Linked DNA regions of Macaca fascicularis. The protein of the gene in region 1 interacts with the protein of each later gene in a pairwise test. Links are inferred from orthologs where the notes say so. Each region holds a gene or a part of one and is shown on either strand. Other genes may lie near its edges.

Region 1 (3,817 bases):
CTCTAACTACTCACTCTGCCATAGCAGCACAAAAGCTGCATAAAAGAATGGGTGTGGTGGTGTACAAGCAGCAGCTGAATTTGGTCCAAAGGCTATAATTGCTGACTTCTGTCCTAGACAAAATTACAATTTACCACATAGTACTATAGCCTGTTGTCACCTATATGTACACTGTAAACTCCCTGAAAGAAGAACCTCTTAGTAACTTTTAATTACGTCTTCTTCCCAACCCCAGTACAGTACCTAATACCAAAAAATTCAGTGTTAAATAAGCAAAATGAAGACAATAATACACTATTATAATCTGAATCAGCAATAAGTAGTATATGTCAAAAATAGTGTACAAACGTTTGACTTATGTTGGTGTTAAAGACAGAATTCCTAAAACATCTATGTTACTCACTAGCCTCAGGTTGTCTTGACTCTAAACTTACATTAAATATATTTTAAAGCTTTTTTCCAGTACTAGGAAGAATCTATAATAGTTAACTGCCAAACTTCATCCAGATATATCTGTGGAACAGTATCCTTGAGTAGTTCATAAAACTAGGACTCAAATGTTAAGATTTAGAATCATTTGTCCCAAAGTACAAAACATATTAATCTGTGGTCAGTGATTAGTTAAAAATAATCAACAAAAGGGGAAATACATAGTTCTTGACTGATTCCCAAACAGTAATAAATTTTTATTTTACACCTGGTACTCTCCATAGGTAGCCTTAAGATAGCTAAGATAGGTGTTGACCCTGTCAAAAGGTTAATCTTTGAGTGTCAAAGCTGAAGTTTAGCCACATCTATTTATTCTAAAGGAACCCAGTATTTCTGCTCTGTTAATAACATAGAACAGATAGGGCATCAGGAAAAAGTGGAGGTGGCATGGGATTCTGGTCCCAACTGCCAATAAAAAATCACAATTTCAAAATTGTATTCATTTAAGATGAAATAAAATATTTTGTAAAATTATTAGTGATGATATAGTGCTTACAATAGCCTTTATGAAAAAAAGTCAATAAAAAGTATACACAGAGTCTATTTTATGTCCCAGTGATGCATATATGATTATTTTGAGCCCCTGAAACAGAGACAATTTTTTAAAGTAATAATAATAACAAATGCTTAGTAGCACTTACAACATGCTAGGCCCTTTTCTAGGTACTTTACATGTTATTAACTTAATCCTCAGAAGAATCTCATGAGAGAGTACAATGATCCCCACCTTATAGTTGAAAATGAGGCACAGGGTATTAAAAAGACCAAGTTCCAGAGCTATAAAGTGGCAAAACCAAGGTATGAACCAACAGAATCTGGTTCCAAGTGCTAAACCACTATACTGTACTAAACATACCTGGATTATAGCTCCTTCCTAATAGTATCATTTCCACTGTATCCTAACATCTTGTTTCTACAAATAAACAATCTAAGGTAAAACTAGGAATACTACGATTATAAACTTCAGGAGAGTGTCCATTCTGGGAGAACAAAAGGTGGCTCTCTCCTTCTCCTCAAATAAAAAATTCTACAAATTAGAGGAAAAAAAGGAAAATGTCCCCAACAGACAAGTTGCCTCTCTAAACAGTCATATATTAGTTCGTAAGTTGAGTATCTTCTGTGCTGTATTTTTTCTTTTAGGTTTATCATTTATTTTCCATCTCAACTGCTTTTGACTTGAGCGTTTGGATTCAAAAAACTAATGACATGAATCTAAATTTTCTCTGCGTATACTAATTGCCATTTCTTTTTGCTTCCCATATTGCTTCTTGATGAATATTTAAAAGAAGGGGTTTGTGTATATAACAGAATTTGTTTCCAAATATCTTAAAATACTTATATGATGTGCTTATATCGTGACCCATTGGTTTAGGGGGAAAAAAATAGAAATAAACCTGAATATTTATATATTTTGTAGGTAATATCCTAGACAATAGTAACGCCCTTGCCTTCCAGACTCTTCTATTTTGAAAAAGCCTGCTCTATGTATGCTATAAATAATTCACTAAAATCAACTACACAAAAATTTAGCCATATTAAGCCTATGACACATTATCTTCAGTTGGTGGTACCAGGATGTTTTCTCCTGCTTGCAGTATGCCCACTGCCTCCTTTACTACTACCCTCTAAACAGATGACTTTATCCACTAAGATCAAGGTCATCCAGAGGATGTAGCCTCTCATAAACTTTGTCAACCTGAAGTCACGCATTTCATCTAGGGCCAAAGATACCAACTACTACCAGTTCCCTCTTCTCCCACTTAGCCAGCAAAAATCACATACCAGAAAGGTCTTGGGAAACATTTTCCAAACAGCAGGATATCAAATTTTCTGTTTTACTGAGCAAAAATAATTTTTTGATCACCCTTCAAGTTTTATCACATAATATAAATACAAATAACTTGGAAAAGCATCTTTCCATAAAAAGCTACACAGTAGTTCCTTGGCTAGAATCTTCACAACAAAACAAAAGACAAAACTATAAATCTCAGAGCAAAGCCATATTTTTTCTTTGAAAATGAAAAAAGTAAAATAACCCAAACAAAACTGAGTAAGAGTCACATTATACACCAGTGTTCTATAAGAAAATTCCATAACCTAGAGAATTTAAAATTTAAAAAGTCATATTAATCAGACAATTTCCTAACAGCTGCTGATTACAAAGACTATTAAAATACACACCAACTTCATTAAAATCTTCAAAGGTGATTTTCCCTGTGGCTTCTCTGTCATAATCTTTAAGAATCTTCAGTACATCAGCTTTTTTTACATCAAACCCCAAGGCTCTCATTGCCACCTTTTGGATTAAAAGGGAAAAGCAAATTATAAAGCAATCTTTACAAAAGAATTTCTAATTATTAAGTTTTTACATCTTAAGAGATAAAAACACATTAGTAAAATATAACTTTTTTGCATGTTTTACCTCTTTAAAATAGTAGTGACAGTGTAATTGTTCTTCACTACTGAAATTATGTATAAGTTTTTTCATTTATAAATTGCATTTTTATATGACAAAGTAACCAACAAGTGTTTACTATATAAAATGCACTAACTTACTGCACAGATAATTTGACTGCTATTTGTTATCACGGGAATAACAACCAAAATGAGAAAAAGGCATAGCATAAATATTAAAGTTATATGATAGAAGAGATAAAACATTAAAATAAGAATTATCATCAGCATCTCCATGATTAGTTATTAGGTTAATAATAGGGCGAAGGACCCTGAGTTTAGACAAAAAAGAGACTTTGTTACTAGTAACAAGGAAGGAAACATGTTACTGACTAGGTAAGTCTTATTTGGAAAGATTCAAGTTGTTCCTTGAAGGACAGATGAAGAGGAGCAGTAGGGCATTTGGGAAGGATGACTAGTATTAAAAGAAACACTGAAATGAACAATAGGTTTGAAGGACAACGAACAGAGCAGTTTACCTCACCTGAATTAGAAGAGTTCAGGTGAGATAAACTGCTCACCTGGATTAGAAGGTGAATTCCACGTGAATTAGAAGAGTTTGGGAGGAAGAAAGCAGTTAGCAAATGAAAAAAGTAGTTGGTGGCAAAAGTGTAGAGAACATTCAGTAGAAAGCAAAGGAATCTGAACTTTAAGTAGTATATAATGAGGAGTTATTAATAGTAAAGGCTTATGAGCAACGAACAATTTATAAGCAATGGTGAAAGATTTTTTAAACTATCTAAATTCAGTGGTAGTAGTATACAAGGTGAACTACAAGTAGACAAACCATTTAGGAAGCTCCAGGTATGAAATAAGGTCTGAAACCAGTCAATGGTTACTAATGGAAGAGACACTATAAAGGAAGAATTGATCA
Region 2 (3,917 bases), on another chromosome or scaffold:
CTTTTCCTCTTTGCTCAAATGTCACCTGCTCAGTGGGGCCTCCCTCAACCACCCTACTTCAGAATATGATCCCCAGGGGTCTGGGCCCTCCCTATCCCCTTTGCCTACTTAATTTTTCTCCAGAACTTTCCAGCATGGTCTGTCCTTTGCTTATGTATTTTGTTGTCTGTCTCTTAAACTCCATGAGGGTAGCGCTCTCTGTCTGTCTTGCTCACTTAGAAATCTCTAGCACAGTCACTTGGCACAGAGTAGGTGCTCAATAAATATTGACCTGACTTGCATTCTGGGTGCATACAGTTAGGGACTTGGGGTGACCAGCGGCTCTCAATGGAACAAGCCTTTTCTCACAGAGCCCACTGCCTGCTCAGCCTCGGAGATCCTGGCTGACAAGTGCCTCCTGTTGGGGCCAGATTCCTGAGAAAACCCCACTCTTCCAGCAAACTGCATGTCCGGGAGGGAGCCACTTAAGTCCCGGCCTCTCCTGGATGGAGAACCAGTGAATCTTGGAAGACTCTTTTTTTTTTTTTTTTTTTTTTGAGATGGAGTTTCACTCTTGTTGCCCAGGCTGGAGTGCCGTGGTGCAATCTTGGCTCACTGCCACCTCCGCCTCCAGGGTTCAAGCAATTCTCGTGCCTCAGCCTCCTGAGTAGCTGGGATTACAGGAGCATGCCACCATGCCTGGCTAATTTTTGTATTTGTATTTTTTATTTTTTGAGACGGAATCTCACTCTGTCGCTCAGGCTGGAGTGCAATGGCGCCATGTTGGATCACTGTAACCTCTGCTTCCCAGGTTCAAGTGATTCTCCTGCCTTAGCCTTCCGAGTAGCTGGGTTTACAGGCACCCCACCATCATGTCCGGCTAATTTTTGTATTTTTGTAGAAACGGCGTTTCACCATGTTGGCCAGGTTGGTCTCCAACTCCTGACGTCAGGTGATCCGCCCACCTCGGCCTCCCAAAGTACTGGGATTACAGGGATGAGCCACATGCCCAGCCTAATTTTTGTATTTTTGGTAGAGATGGGGTTTCACTATGTTGGCCAGGCTGGTCTCGAACTCCTGACCTCAAGTGATACGCCCGCCTCGGCCTCCCAAAGTGTTGAGATTACAGGTGTGAGCCACCGCGCCCGGCTGGAAGACTCTCAATAATAATAAATAATAGTAATAACAGTAACAGTGGCAAGCATTTATGCTTGCTGGCCTTTCCCCCTGGGTCTGTATTAAGGGCTTCACATCCAATATCTCACTTAAGTCTCAGATCGTTCTGAGACCCATGATACCCATTTTATACCACATTATACCCATTTTAAAGATGAGAAAACAGGCTTGGAGAATGTCCGTAGTAGTCCTACCATTTCCTGCGACTTCCTGGAGCCTGGCCCACAGAGGAGGGCTCAGGAAGGACGCTTTCCTTCCTCGCCCTAGGGAACAGGGAGGGACCTGAGCGCTGGCGTGGAGGGTGGGGGAGCCTGAAAGGCCCGGGCGCTGGGTGCGCGGGAGCGAGCGTGCGTGCTTGGCGCGAAGGCTCCTGGCGCAGGCAACCCGACCGCCCAACCGCGCGGTGGCTTGCCTGAGGGGTGGGGCGGCCGCCTCGGGTCCTGACGTCGGGCGCCCTCCGGCCGTCACTCAGCGCTCGGCCCCGCCCCGCCGCGGCTGCAGCAGCAGCGCCGAGGCCGGAGGAGCCACCGCCGCCACCACCGCCGCCACCGCCACCGCCTCCCGGGACTCGGAACCCAGCGCTCGGAGCCATGGCCTCGACCCCCGCGGGTAAGGGGCTGCGGGACACGGGGGCGGCGGGAGGGCAGCGCCCGGCCCCCGCACCCACCCTAGGCTAACCCGCGGCTCTCGCGTCTTGTCCCACAGAGGCGGAGACCCGACAGAGGCTTCTACGCACCGTCAAGAAGGAGGTGGGTGCCGGGGTGGGGGCGCTGGGCAGGTTTCCCCCGGGCAGGGGGCAGCACAGCCAAACGGGAAAAGAGCCTCCGTGGAAGGGTGGCCTCTGGCGGTGGGGGGGGCGGCCAGACCAGGTGTGGGACTCACCTGGGTAGGCATTGACCTCCCGCAGGGCAGGAGGCGCAGCGAGGGAGTTTGGGGATCGGTATAGGCGTGGGGAGGCTTTGGCCCATTTGAGGCTTTGTGCGGGGGCGGATGCAGCGTGAGGCCCCTCCAGGTGTGGGACCCACCTGGCTATGTCCCAGTAGAACGTCCTGTTGTGGAGGAGCAAGCAGGTGGGTGCGGTTCAGGAAGGGGATCTTCCAAGAGAGACTAGCTGCTGGGGGGACCCCCCACAGGGTGTGCTGGGGGAGGGGCCCTGAGAGGGCTGCCGAAGGTGGGGCACCCTTTGGGAAAAGGGAGAGGGAAAATAAAGCCTCCCTCCCCAGCCCCCAAATTCTCAGTCCTTGGAGCCACCTCCAGGAGCCAGGGGACTCCCTCTCACTGATCCGGAGAGTCCCGGGTCAGTGAGCTGCTCACCTGGCAGTAGGGGTCCCTTCACCCCCTACCCCACACACTCAGAGGTGAGAATCAGAAAGGTTCTGCCATTTTTCTGCCCCTCCACTCTCCCTGGGGTCAGCGCGGGGGCCCAGTCTAATCTTTAGGGGTCATGACCAAAGACCTCCCAGAACCCCATAGACAGGGATAATTTGTAGTCCTTGGGGCCTGGGGTAGCATTTCCATGCCTGGACTGTGTGCTCTGCTGCGTACGCCTGCGTGGGTGAGGACCTGTGGCTGTGAGTATGTGCATATGAGAATGTCTGTGTGTCTGGAGATACCTAAGTGTATCTCTTTGCATTGTGTGTACACATATCTATGTGTGTCTGTGTATCTGTTTTTGTGAGAGTGGGTCTATGTGTGTGTATTGTGTGGTGCATGAGTCTGTGTGAATGAGTGATGCTGTGACTGTGCGTGTGTATCTTGAGTGGGTGTGTGGCATGTGATGCATGAGTCTGTGTGAATAACTAGGGCTGTGACGCCGTGTGTGTGCGTGTTGCCCTGTGTGTTGCCCTCCCCATTCTTCAGCCTCAGACCCCATTGCTGCTGTGTTTTTGTCACTTTTTAACCTTATGAGCACTTAGCCCAAGGCCTCGAATGGCAGCAGACCTTGTGGGCTGGCCTGGTTTGTGGGCCTGGCTTTCAGTGCGTGTGTGTGTGTGTGTGCGCGTGTGTGCATGTGTATGTGTGTTGTGGGTGTCGGCTGAGGTGGCAGCATCAAGCATCACTGATGACCCGTCCTTCCCTGCACAGTGGCAGACAGCCACCAAGGGCAGCCTGGAGGCTTGGACCTGTTGCTGCCCCTCCCTCCTCGGGGAGCATGAGTATGTGTCTGTGTGTATATGTGTCTGTGTGTGGCATGTCCTATTTTGTTTAAAGAATGAGCTCCAGGGCTGCTTGGCACATTCTAGCATTTTCGAATGAGACATGCAAAATACATTAGATCCCTCAGAAAGGTCCAGAAGTGTTCAGCTCAGCCTTTGTATAGGCTCCTGTGGGTACTCCAAGGGAGGTCTGTCTAGAACCTCTCTTTTTTTTTTTTCCTGAGACGGCATCTCGCTCTGGGGCCCAGGATGGAGGGCAGTGGCACAGTCTCCGCTCACTGCAAACTCTGCCTCCCAAGTAGCTGGGGCTACAGGTGCCCACCACCACACCCAGCTAATTTTACTATTTTTTTTTTTTTTTTTTTTAGTGGAGACTGGGTTTCACTGTGCTAGCCAGGATGGTCTCGATCTCCTGACCTCATGATCCGCCCACCTTGGCCTCCCAAAGTGCTGGGATTACAGGCGTGAGCCACTGTGTCTGGCTTAGAACTTCTTTTCAACAGAACTCAGACCAACAACATTCTTGTGACTATTTCAGGGGAGGGGCACGTACCTTGCAAAGCACCTGCTGTCTTTTTGTTCATGGTTTAACCAGACCTACATGTA

Evidence for each region.
Region 2: the proteins of CETN3 (region 1) and SGSM1 interact in binary tests that used the Homo sapiens proteins (3 or more experiments, as listed by UniProt). The two-hybrid records come from large-scale screens. The link is inferred for Macaca fascicularis from reciprocal best matches to the Homo sapiens genes CETN3 and SGSM1.

The regions. Positions count from the first base shown.
Region 1 is NC_088380.1:94,401,620-94,405,436, forward strand, and holds part of CETN3 (centrin-3), read right to left. Parts: intron 2,786-3,817; coding exon 2,671-2,785; intron 1-2,670. UniProt on the Homo sapiens protein: Plays a fundamental role in microtubule-organizing center structure and function. As a component of the TREX-2 complex, involved in the export of mRNAs to the cytoplasm through the nuclear pores.
Region 2 is NC_088384.1:26,367,342-26,371,258, forward strand, and holds the start of SGSM1 (small G protein signaling modulator 1), read left to right. Parts: upstream 1-1,621; 5' UTR 1,622-1,745; coding exon 1,746-1,764; intron 1,765-1,860; coding exon 1,861-1,904; intron 1,905-3,917. UniProt on the Homo sapiens protein: Interacts with numerous Rab family members, functioning as Rab effector for some, and as GTPase activator for others. Promotes GTP hydrolysis by RAB34 and RAB36.